3 linked regions of the Caenorhabditis elegans genome follow. The protein of the gene in region 1 interacts with the protein of each later gene in a pairwise test. Each region holds a gene or a part of one and is shown on either strand. Other genes may lie near its edges.

What was found. The genes of interacting proteins can lie anywhere in the genome.
Region 2: the proteins of prkl-1 (region 1) and glp-1 interact in a two-hybrid assay, tested with the Caenorhabditis elegans proteins (one study listed by BioGRID).
Region 3: the proteins of prkl-1 (region 1) and src-1 interact in a two-hybrid assay, tested with the Caenorhabditis elegans proteins (2 studies listed by BioGRID).

The regions. Positions count from the first base shown.
Region 1 is NC_003282.8:6,983,935-6,988,800, forward strand, and holds the start of prkl-1 (LIM zinc-binding domain-containing protein), read right to left. Parts: upstream 3,002-4,866; coding exon 2,792-3,001; intron 2,614-2,791; coding exon 2,371-2,613; intron 2,276-2,370; exon of another isoform or gene 1,842-2,275; intron 1,401-1,841; exon of another isoform or gene 1,249-1,400; intron 976-1,248; exon of another isoform or gene 822-975; intron 614-821; exon of another isoform or gene 263-613; intron 138-262; exon of another isoform or gene 1-137.
Region 2 is NC_003281.10:9,090,466-9,098,249, reverse strand, and holds the start of glp-1 (glp-1/Notch intracellular domain), read right to left. Parts: upstream 6,010-7,784; 5' UTR 5,938-6,009; coding exon 5,798-5,937; intron 4,938-5,797; coding exon 4,822-4,937; intron 4,182-4,821; coding exon 4,119-4,181; intron 3,600-4,118; coding exon 2,691-3,599; intron 2,391-2,690; coding exon 2,150-2,390; intron 1,845-2,149; coding exon 1,109-1,844; intron 702-1,108; coding exon 229-701; intron 179-228; coding exon 1-178. UniProt on the Caenorhabditis elegans protein: Essential signaling protein which has a major role in germline and embryonic development; involved in cell fate decisions that require cell-cell interactions. Probable membrane-bound receptor for putative ligands lag-2 and apx-1.
Region 3 is NC_003279.8:1,565,875-1,570,617, forward strand, and holds the start of src-1 (Tyrosine protein-kinase src-1), read left to right. Parts: upstream 1-1,734; coding exon 1,735-1,811; intron 1,812-4,462; coding exon 4,463-4,743. UniProt on the Caenorhabditis elegans protein: Non-receptor tyrosine-protein kinase which plays a role in endoderm development by controlling spindle orientation in EMS blastomere, probably downstream of receptor mes-1.

The sequences.
Region 1 (4,866 bases):
TCCAGCCGGTGGTTCAGTTTCTCCATGTGTTTCTATAGTTATGTAAATACAAGATGGTATGCCCCTACTGCTACCCTCTTGACCGTCTTAGAATCTTTGTTGGTAGTTGTAATTTAAATTTATTTTTAAGAATCAAATATTTAAATTCTCAGTTGTTTAAAGTGTGCACATTGTGAATTTTCTCTTCTGTTATAAGTTAAGTAACCTCCGCATTAACAACAGACATGTACAACCATAAGTTGATAAGACCTCGCGTCTAATCTGACAACCAGACACCTAAAATTTTGAAATGGATTAGGCAACAGACACCTCTAAACAGAAAAACGTGACAGGGTAATCCTAGGGAAAAACTGCCTGTCTTCTGCCTACGCCTGGGAGGCACGTAGAAAGGTAGTGAAGACGTACCTACCTATTTCACAACTTCAATACTTTTGTTTTCCAAGTTCTTGTACTCAGCTAATCCTCAATATTCGGCGATAATTACTTGTAAACTATCAACAACTAACAAGTACCCTTGACACGCACACGGGTAACAATTGGAACTGACACATCCAATTCAGAAAACAACATGACACTGCCTGAATTGTCTACAAAAGGCAGATGTTCCCATGTCTCCTAATTCAGGTCTTCAAACCAGATACTTGGAGGGGCAACCAACTGGGCGAAGGGTATCAAATGCGCGAAAACCCCTGACTATGAGAGGGATCCTCTAAGAAAAGTGATTGATGACATGGTAACATGGCACCCAGGAAGACCATCTGTTCGGCACTTCCCTTCCAAAAATATACTGTTTCTTTCACCCTATAATTGACTTCTTGCTTTCCTTCTCATTTTCCTTGTTAATCTTGTTATGAGTAGTGTTTAGATCAAAACGCCCCGCGCGCGCATATCGGAAGAAGCTTTGTTTGATCTACCTACCATCTACCCATGACCGGATTAGATTAACACTGAGACGGCTCTAATCAGATTATAACTCAATGAACAAACTAAAGAGAACGAGCAGAAGGAGCGGAAATTGAGTATATTACTGTACATAACATTTACATTTACTAACTTAAGCTAGACCCCTAGCAACCCTTGGAAATTCAAAAGCAAAAATTCTAAATTCCTAAAACGAAAATCCAAGCTAACCCCAACAATGAGCCCCGTTGTCTCTCCTATTAATAAACATGTAACGATGCATAGGTAATTAGCAGTGACTGCTGCTGCTCAGCTTCTCCTCTGACAAACAGCCGGAGCTTCGTAGTAAAAGAAAGATGGATGAACATTGACAATAATTGCATATTGTCTATGACTCTATCTCTGTTTCTCTATTTCTCTCCAATATTTAGATGTTGCAATAATAATTGCAGACAGTCGGTTGCCATTGAATGAAATTATCGTCAGTGGAGATTTATTCGAAATCCACTTATTATAACACAAAAAACCACATATCATAATTTAAATACTTCAAAAATGTTCAGTTTTTTCAAAGTTTCAGTTAAAGTATGGGTGTATTGTTTCAAAAAATGTTAAAATTTAAAAAAATAAATTTTGAGCATAGTTTCGTACTACTAGAATGTTTAAATAGCAGGTTCGTACAACTAAAATGTTTAAATACAAACGATTAAAACGAAATTGGAAACTCGTAGAAAGTATTTTTGAACGCCTTCCAAAATTATAGTAATGAAAAATGAGTTTTTCCCACTTTTTGACTGTATGTAAAATAAAATCAAAAATTTATTTGAACATTTTAACACTATACATAGAAGCTTTTTTTACGGTACTGACGATACCTTCAAAAACGATATCAGAAAATTAAAAAAAAAAGGTTTATTTTTCGACGAATTTTCATGATTCCATTTGTCCCTTTCAAGTTGCTGCAACTATTCTCATGCCGTACAAAAATCTAACACCTAAGCAGCTGGCTTCCCCCATCGAGGTCAACAACCTCTTCTTCTCATTCTTCAGAACTTTTTTGCCGCACTCTCGTAAGTGGGACTATCCGAGAGCAGACGGCCCTCGCCGTTGTTAATGAGCATGACCTTTCTCAAATTTCCGTCATTGTTTATTCTCAAGTGTAAGACAGTGCCTACACGTTGGGAATGCAAAGGCAAAAAGCCGCCCGACAAAAAAGAAGCCGTGAAGATGATGATGAGGAGCATCCCAGCATAAGCATAGATGATGGTGCGCGGAAAGAGAGCGCTCGCGCATAAAGATTTATGAGTTTTGGGGATGGTGCGGAAAGACGAAAAAGAAAATGTTGTTTATGGTTTCATACGCCACAGTTTGGCAAGATTTACGGTTGTGCTCAAATGGGTCGAATGTCATAATAAGGCCGGGTGACGATTTTTCAATAAAACCAAACAAATTTTGATGGAAAATACTAACCTTTTCACATTTTGTATCAAATGGAGCATATTGAACAACACCACTTCCCAGGCATTCAGTTTTTCGAGTTCTTTCAAACATTCGCAATGTATCCGCTTCTTCTGCATTTAAATCTTCACAATATCTAACATCAGAATCCTGTGGTGGTAGTTGATAACGTGATTGACGTTGTCGCCATTTTTCTCCAGCTGATCCAATGAATGGTACCTTGTTTTCCGGGAGACAGGCGAAGTAGGCATGAACCTGTAAGAATTTGAATTTGAATTTGAATTTGAATCAGTATTTGAAGTGCACAAAAAACCATCTGTTTTGAACGGTCCACAGGTTGTGAACATTTTAATTGGTCTAGGTTTTGGTGTTCAAAAACCTAATTCAATTGTTCTTTATTGCACACGAGATCATTCAAAATCTCTATACTTACCATATTCGGCTTCAGACCACTAGGCACCCATGCATACTCGTCCAAAGCACATCCACTGTCATCATCAGATGTTGAATGCCTGTGAGCATCAGCTGCAATTCGGATTCTCGAAGCAGGCGATAGACCACCTTGAGCTCGACGTGATGAGATGAGCTGCGGTGCGAATTGCTCCGATGCTTCGAGACGACGACGGCGAATTCGTTCGCTCATCTGAAATAGGGACTATGAATTGAAAATAACACATTTTCATAAGAGAATGGCAAATTATACGATAAAGTTGAGGTTGACTTGGAAAAAAAGAAAAATAGTGTATGCAAAATCACTTCAAAAAAGCCTCCAAAAAAGGGTGTGTTAAGTGTTAAGTGTGAAAAGAAGACCAGTCCCTCTCTATAACCTTTTTGCTGCCATATAAAAATGTCAATCACTTTGGCAACACCATCACCATCATCCACAAAACTAGACCGGTCTCTCCATTGCCCCGTAAATCCCCACGACGACATCTGACCGTTTCATTTCTCATTTCACTGCAGAAAAGGACATCGTCTTCTTCGTAATGTTGATTCAATTAGAGAAAAAGATTCCGAAATCTTCAACTAGAAGACGACGTCCCGTTGAAGAATGAAAAATAGTAAAGAATCGGGAGACGTGTGTTTATGCTAATTTGATATGGCCTTGTAATAGAGGAATGACTGTTTGCCGTCGCGCACGCCGCCCCGTTTTGTCTCTGTCATTATACTGGTAATAACGGAAAAGTGACGGTAACTAATGGATTAATAGGAACATCTCAAAGGAAGAACTTTAAGATCTCAACGAATCTAAAGTTTTACTGTTGATTCCGACTTTGCGGTAGTGTGTTCGCAAAAAAGTAATAAAAGTAACAAAATTTACCATGATAGTTCCTGTGCATTTTAGAATGTGAAAATTACATACGCTTCATAATTTATATTTGAAGCATTATTCTATTATAGAGATTGTGGCAAGATCCATCAAGAGGAGTAGAAGACACCTTTAAAGTCTCACGTCATGTTTTCACAAACTCTCGGTACTTGAGGATATTTTTATAAACTATTTTCTAGGTCCTTTGGAAGTATTAGTGTTTTCACAAAATTTTATTACTGTTTCAAGGTGGCCATAAATTGCGAGGGTAATGTTTTTGAGTAATTACAACTGTTATTTGTTGTTAAGGAAAAAATTGCTGGCACAATCTTTTGAGAAAAATAAAATGAGAAAAACGAGCCATGAAAAAACTATTTCGAATATTCAAGTAACTCGAGCTTTTGTGAGAGCGGAGAAAAATTATTGTAAGAAAATATAAATGTGTGTTGGAAAAAATATAGGAAGGCGTAGAATGCCTAGTTTGAAAATTTCTGTAAAGATGAAAATGATTTCTGCTCAAGCTCTTGTAGCAGTTCTGAAATTGCCATCACTTCACGATTTCAATATTGAACGCAACAACACCCTGTACTACCAGAACACCAGAATGTGTATAGCGTACAAAAAATGACTCATTTTGCGGTAAGAATGAAATTGTGAAAATTGAAAACTTAAAACAAAAGTGAAACTAATGTGGAGGGCGTTGACCGGAACCGCATGGAATATCTCCCATCAGAACCCAAAAGCTACAAGGATCCTCCCACATCAACTAGAAGGGTGAGACGCAGACCGAGAAGCAGTATTTTGAGGGCGGGGTTAACAGTCTTACCGCATGTGTTTATGTACCCCTCATCTCGGCCAGGAAGGGTCTATATATGTGTGTGTGTCTATGGGTGACAGGTGTTATGATACATCGGTACTAAAGATGTTATCGGTTAGAGATTGGAAGTCCCTGGAGGGTATTGGAGTTGGTTTTAATCTAATAGAGGTGAATAGAGTTGCGGTAGATCAAAAGTTGAGGGCTCTTTTTCAAGTCTTAGATGTAATGATTAGATTACTATTTAATTATGAACTCTTATAAGATACTAAGATACTAATTATGAACTCTAATTTCCGCTCTCAAGCCTGCTCCAACAGAATTTCAACGCCTATTAAAACGGTAATAATTCCAAGAAGAAGACCGCACAAAAAAGCGACGCATT
Region 2 (7,784 bases), on another chromosome or scaffold:
TCCAGCCTTCAAGCATCGAATTGCCTCTGTTGTAATGACATCTTCCGGTTTTCCTCTGACATTGGCAGCAAGCCAGTGCAGAACTCGTCGTCTATACTTTGAATCCACTTGATTGACTGACTCATTTGTGATTGGAGCTGTAATCGCATCTGGTCCTGCAGCTTGAACATGGAGAGGGCTGAAAGAAACATAACAATAATTATAATAAAACTATAAAGATTCACTCACATTTCGTCGGCTGGTAGATCAGCTGGTGCGAACGTCTCAGATTGAAAGTCAAAGTTCAATTCGTTGTAATCACCGGGATATCCATTTGCGAGAGTTTGTGGATAAATCTGTGAATATTGTTCTCCATTGTAGCCGGTACTATAATCGCTACAGTGTCTCTTGGTATTGGGGTGATAGTAGGCAGAATTGTCAAGAAGAGAGCACTGACTCGAATGATTTGACTGATTCCGACGACCTTTCTCGTTCGTTGATTCCATCGGAGGCATCCAGACTGTTGCGTTCACCATTTTTCTTTTTCTACTTCTTTCTGGACCATTCTTTGCGATAACACCAGCGACAACAGTTCCAAAAGCCAAAAATGCAATACATGCAAACAGAATAACTTGACTGCGAGACCATCCTTCATCGATTTCGTTTCTCTTTGGAACAGCTACCATTGCTTCCGTAATTGGGAGACCCAGAGACATACGACCCTGAAAATGTTTTAATTATTATTTTCCATAACTCAAACAATTAAAGGTTCACCGCTTTTTGGCTCGAAATATACTATAAAATTTTTCTAATTTTTAAAAATTATATTTGGTCATTTTATCACCATAAAAATAGATTTTAAGCCCCACCAGTGCTGGGACTTTTTGATATTTTGACGAAAAATTGTTTTTTTGGTTTTGGATTCAAAAACTAATTTTCTGTACTTCAAACATTTTTTTATGTTTTACAAATATTTTTAGCAAAACGCGGATGATTTTCTTCTAAAAAGTGAAAAGTGAACCGGAAATCTACCTTTTTGGATTTTTCACAAATTTAATTTTTTTTGTTATTTCGGTCCAAATTATTTTGTTTCCAGCCCGGTGCCGTACTCCACATAAAAATAACTTACATCAGACTTCACAAGTCCAGCAGCAATCAAATCAACGACACTTTGCGCTGTTGAAAATCGGCAAAACTCGGGTTTACATATTTCTTCGACTTCCAAATACAAGACAATTCCAGTGACAACAGCTTGCCGATACCTGCGAACGTGATGCGAAAGTACAAATTGATCTTCGAGCTTGCTACTATTCATCTCAACTCTTTCCATTTCATGTTCACCATCCCATCTGAATACAAGAGGTCCAAGTTCATCCCGTTGAATACGTACGGTTGCTCGAAGATTTGCACTGATTTGCATTAGTGTTTCTCCTCCGGTAGCTTGGAATTCAATAGGATCAATTTGAACTTTTATACGAATATCACTGAGGATTATTGCTTCTGTTCCGTTATTGCAATCTCCACCGTCAAAACCACATCCAATGAAACTGCATTCTAAATTACAAACTCCATCGCCTCGTCTTTCAATACAATGTTTCCGAATATGAGCTGGGCATCGAAATAACTCTGATTGACAGTCCAATCCATCGTAAAGACATTCTTCATTATTGCATTCCTGATTACAGACTCCATTTGCGAATTGATCAGCACATCTTGCAGGGTATTGACATTTGGAGAATGGTCTTTGCCCTCCTGAGCAATCACCTCCATCAAAATTACATTCTTCCAAATTGCATTCCGGGTTGCAAATACCATTGGAAGCAAGATCCATACACTTTCGTTGCTCGCATAGATCACGAATGACACTGAAATGTTCACATTTAATACCTTGAATACAAATTTTGAAGGAATTTTATCTTCATCGTCATTATACTCCAAGTGGCTCAAAAAAATAATTCCAAATAAATCATGGCAGTTCAAATCTTGGAAAAAGACAGCCTTATTTTAGCTAAAGAAATTTTATTTAACACCTTCCCCGTGTCACACAAACCGAAGCTGGCAAAATTAGAGATTTGAGCTAAAATTAGGTATTTATTTCATTGAAACCGCTTTTTACTTCAATAAATTATTTTTCTGGGCTGCATTCTTTATAGTATCCAAGAAAACTAACGTCTCTTTTGATTTCTCGATAACTAGAACTTCTTCACAAGTGGGTCCAGTGTATCCATATTGGCATTCGCAATATCCAGTATTCTTACAAACTCCTCCGTTCTTGCATGGATGTCTGGAGCATAACTGTCTATCCTTTATTTCGCAGTAATCTCCAGAGAATCCGTTGGGGCAGTTACATCTGATAACGCCATTCACACCTTCACAAGTACCTCCGTTAGCACATGTAGTTGGAGTGCACACTGAAGTTTGTTGATATTAAGAATGCTGCCTAGTAATCTTGAGCTAAAAATACGGTATCAGGTCTCGCCACGACAAAAATTTTGTTAAATGCGAAAAAATGTGCGCTCCTAAAGAGTACTGTAGTTTAAAAACTCTCCTTGCTCCGGGATTGCCATTGATTTTTCAAAATTTAAGTCTGTGTAGTCTATGTAGATTTGATGTTAAAAAGCTGAAAAATTGATGAAAATTTCACCGTTTGAAACTACAGTACTCTTTAAAGGCGCGTTTGTCGTATATAAAAATAAAATTTTCGAACTTACACAAATGTTGCTCGCAGTTCAATCCATAGAATCCAAGCGGACAATGACATGAATATCCACTGTTTTTGAGATCGATACAAGTCGCATTATTCACACACGGATTGTATTTGCATGACTGAATATCTGGGAACTTGAAATCTTTCCTATTAATCTCACATCGATCTCCAATATAATCAGGTTCACAGACACAGAAACCATTTATACATCTTCCATCGTTGTAACACGTTCCATTGCTCCGAGAGCAGTGTGGTCTCTGTAGTGGAAGATCACAATGAATTCCCCCGAATCCTGAAGGACACTCAATCTCACATCGTTGTCCAGTGAATCCTTGTTCGCAATAACAAATTGGCATCTGATTCGAGTCATGGGCACAGTATCCATCATTTTGGCAAACGTAATCCTTGCACATGTCGATAGCCTCCTCGCAATACTTTCCAGCGTATCCAGGTTTACAGGTACAAGTAAAATCACCGTGCAAATTGAAACATGTAGAGTTGTTAACACACGTTTCTTCGATGAGGCATTCGTTTTTATCCTTATTGCAAAATTCTCCCTCGTATCCCGAGTCGCATACACATCTGAAGTTCTTGTCTTCATCTCTGTTCGGAATACATCTTCCATGATTGCAAATGTTTCCCATCAAAGCACATTCAGTTCGTTCACAATATCGACCGGATTTTCCAATTGGGCAATCACAGTAATAGTTGTATACACTATTGACACACGTTGAACCTTCTGCGCATTCATTTTGAGCACAATGATCGATTCCTTCTTCACAATACGATCCTCCATATCCATTGTTGCATATGCACTGAAATCCACCATAGAATGGATAGCAGAGTCCGTTGTTGCAAGGATCCGAATCGCATGGATTTACTCCCGAAAATAGAGGAGTTTTGCAGTCAGGACCTGAAAATATTAATGTATTAATCACGGATAGGCCTTTGTCTTCTTTTTAAAAAAAGTGGAATTTAAATTCAAATTCCGGCGGAAGTTTGTTTTTCCTAATAGCCATTCACACCTCATTACCCCCAACCGCCGATTATTTCCTTTGAGATGAGAAAGGTGTCAATCTCATTACGGTAAAATAGAGAAAAAGAACACGCAATATTTTGATTTATTTGAGATCAAATCGGTTCCGACAACAGATGGAAAAAGTTATCACAGTGGGAGACTTGGATCTCGCGCATTTCTTATTAGAATATGTTAAATTAAATTAAATATATTTAATTTATTTTTTACTATATTTTTTAAAATCTGATAATTTCATTGGTCCTTTGTGTTTTCGAAAAATATAAAATTGAAAAAAAAACAATTTTGCAACTTTTTAAAAATTAAAATAGCTGTCAATTGTTGCTCAAAACAACAATAATTGTGATACAAAGTCATTGACTATTAGTAATCATACATTATCCAAACTTTACTCACCTCCATAGCCTTCTTCACAGCCTTTTTGAGTACGTTCTGTTGGAGGAGTCTCGTCTTCGCAATCTGAATAATAAAACTTATAAATATTTTCTCATGGCTGTCTGTGTAACAACATCTGCTTGATTTATACTACTGCCCCCGCGCAATGAAACCGAACATTTGCAATAAATCGCATGACAAAGGCGATGAAGATGTGCGAATATGACCTAGTAGAAGCTATCTATCACTAGCGGTCATTTTGAGAGCGTAGAAATGAAAAATAGGATACCACGAATGCGGTACAATTTGTCAATGTTGGGATCTCCCGGGAGAATTATTATACGTATGGTCGCGTGTTTTCCCTAATAAGTTTTCGAAATTTTGATATATCCTGAAACAAAAAATTGCGTACAAGTCGGGCACAATCAAAGAAAAATACACTCGCAGTGTGATGATGGATGATGTGGTGAAAAAGATTGCCGCTATGAAAAAGGGCAGATGAAGAAAAAGGTGGAAGTAAAACATGGAACAAAATTTTGAATTTGAAACGTTTAAAATCTTAAAATGATTGATTAGAATACACTTGAATCGAGATAAAGTATTTATCAAACTATGCAAAAAGGCGATAATTTGATTTAAAGATTTGAGAAGTCCCATTATGAAAATAGGTCGTTTCGGGCAAAATATTATGATATTTAACAGATTTTAGGATTCACAAAATTACCTTGACAGATACACGTCGGATTTTCACCATAAACATCGTAGATGCACTTCTCGCCTCGTTTACAATCCAAATCGCATTCACGTTCACAGAAAGCACCTCCGAATCCTTTTTTGCAACTGTAAATTTGATTAAATTATTTTTAAACTGAAAAGTAATTCAATTGAGACAATTTATGACTGTGGGCCAGTGGTGGGTGACAATCAATAAATTACAGTATTTTTAATCAAAAATCGTGGCAAAATATATCGATTTACTTGAAAATAACAATTTTTCAGCTGATATATTCGTGAAAGTGATCAGAAAACAAATCTCGATAATTCACTCAACAACTTTCAGACAATTTTGGACCATTTTCTCACATTTTTAAGCTGAAATAAGTGTTATTTTCAGATAAATCGAGCGATTTTATGTATTTTAGAGCATCATGGCGCAATTTTCCTATCGATAAATACGTTGATACTCTCTGTATAACTAATCAAACGAGCTAGATAGTAATAAGAAAAGACAAGATTAAAGAACCGACACGCTAATCCAATTGTTTTATGAACGTCCATATAAATTCGCCGACAACCCTGGGAAGATGGCTGTAAACGGCTGTAAATTTTGCCTTTGGAACTCAAAGTTATTGATAAGAAAAATGAATTGTTTGTAGAGAAAAGGGAAAACTAAATAACAATTTTTTAGATTTCCCGAACGATTTACGAGATTTTACATTGTGACAGCCTCCTGCTGTTCATTGTGTTCCCATTCTGCAAGCCGGGTGGCGTTTAATGATGTCTTAGAGGGAAATATGGACAGTGATAATTCAACTTTCGGATATTATTCAAAATGTTCTCTACACCAAGCTTTTGTTTATCTATCGCCTGTTTCCCACCACCACCACCTGCCCAAACTTTCTTTTTTTTGTTCTTTTCGTCACGGTTCATGAGAAAGCGGATGAATAACATTGACATGGGAGAATGAAATATATGCTTACCGGCACCAGTATGTCTCAATCAGTTTTCCATTATAGCATTTTCCATTGACGGAGCAAGCACCTTCCCTTCCGCATTCTCCACCCATAAGTTGACTGGCGATTGGCGCAAAAAACGCGAGTAAAATTAGAAGAACTCGCATTGTTGTGTTCGCTGTTCGAGATTCTGTTATTATTAGTTGTTAGAGCAGCTCTTGGTGTTATTGTACATGAATCTGAAAGAAAATATGAATTAAATCAAGAGATGCGGTTAAGCGAAAAAAAAGAACACTTCAGCATTATCACAAAAGTACAAAAAAAGAACGGAGAACAGGAAAAAAACGAAAATGGAGAAGACAAGGAGCGACGAATGAAGGCCGGGTGGCATACTCCGCCCATTTTCTGAGTGTGTTGCGATTGTCTTGACACCTGAGATGGGCGGTCCAAAAAGAAGGATAACAGTACTTTTTTCGAATAGGAACACTAGAAAAAGAACTGTTAGGATAAATCGGAAAACTCATTGATTACATTATTTTATTGCCTATCCGACAGCTGCATGTTGGTTGCGAAATGTGGAGAAAACAACCAATTTATGGCCTTTCAATTGATCATTCCCGTGAAGAAGAAGTGGGGAAAACGATTTACATAAGAAAGTGAACGAAAAACTTTGTTAGAACGATAAACGGAGATTTGTTTGCAATGATTTACTTGGAACCTATTTTACGCCGTTTTCAAGCGATGAATATTCCGAAAATAATGTGATGGAGCTAAATAAACTTATTACGATCTCATTTAAAATATTAGAAATACAGAAAAATGTTCTTATCGTGTCAAAAAAAGAAAAAAAAACAAAGAAAATCATTTTAAAACTCAAAATAAATTTTGGCGCCGTGCACAGCTCGGAAGTCCGCAATTGACGACCGTACCCCTTCGCTTACCGTAGTTCTGATATTTGCTTATCTTTTTTAAATATTATTCTCAAAAACACACACAAAACTTATCTGAAGATTAAAAATACGAAAAACTGTATTCATGTTTGAATAGAAAAAAATCTACAGTATGTCTGTAAACATTATTTCAATATTCAGTCAATTCTGGAATAAACAAATTTGCTCTGCTTCTGGAAATGTTTATACAAAGAAAAAGCGTTATTGTCGGCATACAATACGGAATATAAAGGAAAACGGAAAAAGAAAACCGAAGTGCTAAATCGATAGTGATCACATAGGCGGTTTCAGAATAATCCACGTTTTCGTGCAGCAAGTCGTCCATTGTTCTCGAATTTGAACCTTCCTAAATCAGTCCGTGTTCTAATTTCCCGTACCTGGCCACATATGAACACAAATTATATTGGTAGAACATATGGAAACAAGGTACACGTGTAGTTATTGTCCGATAAAATGATAGTTTTATGACTCATAGGAAATTTGAATCTAGGAAGATTCCACGCAAAACTGTTGGTCAGATGCAATTTTTCACGATTTTTCGAAAAGATGTGCGCCTTTATGGAGTACAGTAATCCATTTCGCAATTTTCTTTGAGTTTTTCACTATATTTCTCTCGTTCACAAAGATTTTGATGGATTATATTAAATTTCTCGTTTTTGGGAGAAAAAAGTAAAAATCAAAGGCAATTTCAAAAAAAAAACCGGAAAATGGTTACTGTGCTTCTTAAAGGCGCACACCTTTCCGTCAATTTAAAATATTATGTTCGTGGCGAGATACGGGGCATACCGTATTTCTGCGTGGGAAATTGCAAAATTTTGTCAAAAAAAAATTTCTTCCAAAATAAGTTGAAAACTCTCACTGGACCGGACGTACAAAACTACATGTTTCTCCCAAAACATTGTTAATGTTGTTTCTCATACTCGAGGTTACCTAGGTATTCAAAACATTTGTACTGAAGAAAAAACATTCAGCATTCGGAAGATAAACTATAAGGTCATGTGAGAAAAGAGAAAAAGTATTGGGGATTCTGAATGTTTCCATAAAATGGGTTTTGTACAGCACAA
Region 3 (4,743 bases), on another chromosome or scaffold:
GACAAAATATGAGTACAATTCGGACAATTTTTGCGTATCAGTCGTAAAATTCGTAAATTTTCGATCATAAGTTGTTATTGAAATTGATCATAACTTAATGGAAAACATGAGAAAAAACCTGTTCGAAAATTAGTTTTGCATCAAATTAGGTGTCCGAAAATTAGTTTTGCATGCCTTACTAATAGAGGAAATACGGTAAAAGTTATGGCGGCTCAAAAAATGGCCGACATTTTTTTAAATTTTTTATCCAAATTTCGCCGTCCATCGACTTTATAATACCTAAATGAAGTTGAAAACGCAGGATAATTACATTGTATACTCAAAATTTGACGGTGAATTCAAAAAAGTTAATTTCCAGCCGCTTGACAAGTCGGTCAAATTTCAAAATTTAACTTATCTTAGGCCATTTTTTGAGCCGCCATAACTTTTACCGTATTTCCTCTATTAGTAAGGCATGCAAAACTAATTTTCGGACACCTAATTTGATGCAAAACTAATTTTCGAACAGGTTTTTTCTCATGTTTTCCATTAAGTTATGATCAATTTCAATAACAACTTATGATCGAAAATTTACGAATTTTACGACTGATACGCAAAAATTGTCCGAATTGTACTCATATTTTGTCAATTTTGACTTGTCATACCAAGTCTGTAAGAGTTTTCCTAATTTTTAGAACGATTTTATTATGCAAATTTTGAATTCCTAAACATAGGGAACAAATTGAGGGGGTGCAAAACTAATAGAGGAAATACGGTATTTGGAGAAGTTTTCAAGAAGTTTCATTATGAAATTCGATGTTTTCAGACAATTTTGAGTATATTAAAGAAATTTAAAAAAAAATTCAACTACACCACCTTTAAATACAAAAATACTGATTCTGTTGGGAAAATATTGTAAATTTCTTCAAAAAATTGATAATTTTCGCGTTTTTTCTGAATAAATTCCAAGCGTCAGAGTTTATTTAAAACATATTTACTACCCCTCCATTTTCACTTTTTCCTCTAAAATCTCGTTTTTTTAAAATCAAATTCCCGCCAAAATTTCCTCATTTTCAGAAAAAAAACCTCGAAAATAAGAAGAAGAAGCAACCATTCCATATGCATGCTCAATAATTGTTGTTTGCACAAAAATACTGGTGTCTTGTGTGAGTTTTTTTGGAAAATTCAGAAAATTTTCACTGAAAATTACAAAACCTGACAATTTTTGAATTTCGCGACGATTCAAGTATTTCACATGGTGTCAGAGTGTCACATTTCGGCTTGATCTACGTTGATCTACAAAAAATGCGGGAAAACGGGACGCTGACTTCTCATCTGATTTTGTATGGTTAAGACCGTCCTGACGTCACATTTTTTGGGCAAAAAATTGCCGCATTTTTTGTAGATCAAACCGTGATGGGACAGGCTGGCACCACGTGATATTTGCAAATTGTAAATTTTAATATATATTAAAATTAACAAATTTTTTGAAATTTGTTTGAAAATTCTGCTTGTACAGTCTTTTTTTGCAGTTTTCCAGTTGTGGAAATGTCAAAAAAAAATTAAATTGACAGAGATTTTTCAGTTAAAAAAATTTAAAAAAAAAAAACGAAAAAATTCACAAACAATTTTTCGACAAACCGGCAAATTGCCGAAAATGAAAATTTCCGGCAAACCGGCAATTTGCTGATTTGCCGAACGAACGAGGCAACCCCAGTAACATTTTCCTGAAATAATTTTTTTTCAGAATAAATAATGGGTTGCCTGTTTTCAAAAGAGCGGCGATCGGGAGGCAGTGATATGGGTGTTTCCGAACGGATAGATGTCTCCAGGTAACTATTTTATAGAGAAATGTATTATTTTTTTGGAGACAATCAACTTTTTTTTTAGATAAAAAGTGCAAAAATTAAATACAGATTTGAAAAAAAACCGATTTTCCGGTTTGGTTTAATTTTTGGTAAAAATTTGAAATTATTGATTTTTAGTTAAAAATTAGAAATCATTGATTTTTCGATAAAAAATCATAAATTATTGACTTTTCAATTAAAATAGGAAATTTAGCTATTCTAAATCTACATAAAGCATGATATTTTATGCATTTACATGGTGGTGAGCGGAAATCCCCCGTTTTGCCGGAACTTTTCAATTCCGAAAATTTGCCCGTTTCACATTTCGATAATTCGGCAGTGATCAACAGTTGTTAGATTTTCGGCATTTTCTCAGCAAGTAAGTGCCCGATCCCAACAAATTCCGGCAATTTGACATTACTGAGTTCCAAAGAATTTTGAAAAAAAAAACGAGATCCCTACTGTAGTAAATGTTTTTATTAGAAATTTTTTTTTCTGGAATTTTTTAATCGAGACTGAACTCTTTTACAATTTCGAGTGTATTTTTTTGGAAAAAATGTATAGAATTTAAAAATGTATCATTTTCTCTGTCCCGTCTTTTTTTATAGAAAGTTTGCTTTATTTTTAGGCTATTTTTAGGCCAATGTTGTTTTCTAAGCCTAAAAATGAAAATAGTATTAAGATGAACATGTGCATTAAAATTGAAATATTGAATGTTTAAAATTATTTAGTGCTCACTTTTTCCGAAAAAAAAAATATATAAATAGAATAATCTCAGAAGAAAAACTATGGCATCATTTTTGCCCAATTAGATGCCAACGATGTCTTTAAAAAATTATATATATATATATATATATATATCTTTTTTTTTAAAAACATTTAAAGACATCTATTTGGGCAAAAATGATGCCATAGTTTTTCTTCTGAGATTATTCTATTTATATATATTTTTTTTCGGAAAAAGTGAGCACTAAATAATTTTAAACATTCAATATTTCAATTTTAATGCACATGAGAATGTTCATATATGTACTTCCTTTTCTATAAAAAAAATTTGATTGTTTGCCCACCTAAAAATGCACTAACAACGCGTCAATTCGCGTATTATATTTTTTTTAAAGGTGGAGTAGCGCCAGTGGGGAAATTGCTTTTAAACATGCCTATGATACCACAATGACCGAATATCATGGTTAAAAAATTCAAAAAAAAATTTCTAAATTTTATATGATTTTTTGAAAATTGAAAAAATCTCAGTTTTGCCTAATTTTTTGTTTTGCCTAGATTTGTTCGGTGGAGCGCGCTTGCACGCTTTTATTTTTATTTATTGTTATTTTTTTATATTTTCCACCGATTTTCAATGTTTTCAGTGTATTTTTGTCTGAAATTTGAAGAAAAAGTCAAAATAAATGCAAATGTTCGATTAAAAAGCATTTAAACGACGATTTCGAAACCTGAATTAATTAATTTCAAAGATTTACGCTTGTGAAGTAGCTTTTTAATCAAAAATTAGCATTTATTTCGACTTTTTCTTCAAATTTCAGACAAAAATACACTGAAAACATGGAAAATCGGTGGAAAATATAAAAAAAAAAACAATGAATAAAAATAAAAAATGTGCAAGCGCGGCGCTCCACCGAACAAATCCAATTGGGGGTAATTCAAAATTCAAATAGGAATTATTAGGCAAAAATCTTTTTTTTACCATTTTTTAATTTTCAAAAAATCATATAAAATTTTTTTGAATTTTTTTATCATGGTATTCGGACATTGTGACCCCATCACTGCAACTTTTTCCTCACGAGAGACAAGGAAAAGTGGTTTCTAGGCCATGGCCGAGGGGCCGACAAGTTTCAGCGGCCATTTATCTTGCTTTGTTTTCCGCCTATTTTCTTTCGTTTTTCATCGATTTTTTTCGTTTTTTCTTAATAAAACTGATAAATAAATATTTTTTGCAGATGCTAAAACAATTTCCAAGTAAAAAAATCATGTATTCAGTGGGCAAGCAGCGGTGAAAGTAGTCGATGTAATATGATGGATTACGGGAATACAAAACCTAAACTTTTTCTGAAACATGATACATATGATGCTTAGATGCTTAAATTACCTGATTTTCATAACGAGACCGCTGAAAAAGTTTTGAGGTTTTCAAAATTCAATTGTTTTTGGTGAAAAAGTAGAGATTTTCGCACAAAATGTTGAATTTTAAAAATCTCTAAACTTTTTCAGCGGTCTCGTTATGAAAATCAGGTAGTCTCAGCATTTAAGCAGCATATGTATCATGTTTCAGAAAACGTTTAGGTTTTGTATTCCCGTAATCCATCATATTACATCGACCACTTTCACCGCTGCTTGCCCACTGAATACATGATTTTTTTTACTTGGAAATTGTTTTAGCATCTGCAAAAAATATTTATTTATCAGTTTTATTAAGAAAAAACGAAAAAAATCGATGAAAAACGAAAGAAAACAGGCGGAAAACAAAGCAAGATAAATGGCCGCTGAAACTTGTCGGCCCCTCGGCCATGGCCTAGAAACCACTTTTCCTCGTCCCTCGTGAGGAAAAAGTTGCAGTGGCTACTCCACCTTTAATTATTTTTCCATTTTTTTTCCGTACACTTCCCCCATTACCCAAAAAGATATCCACGCAGATTCCAAACGCCCCAACAACAGACAGTATTCCACGTGAATAACGGTGGAAACGAGGGAACCATCTCTCAACTAAACGGAACATCAGACGGAATGATGGGAAATGGACGTGGTGGTGGTGGTGGAGGAGGAGCACAGGAACGTGAGACTCTGGTCGCCCTCTATCCATACGATTCACGTGCCGACGGGGATCTTAGCTTTCAAAAAGGCGATGCTATGTACCTATTGGATCATTCGAATTGTGATTGGTGGTATGTTCGACACCAACGAA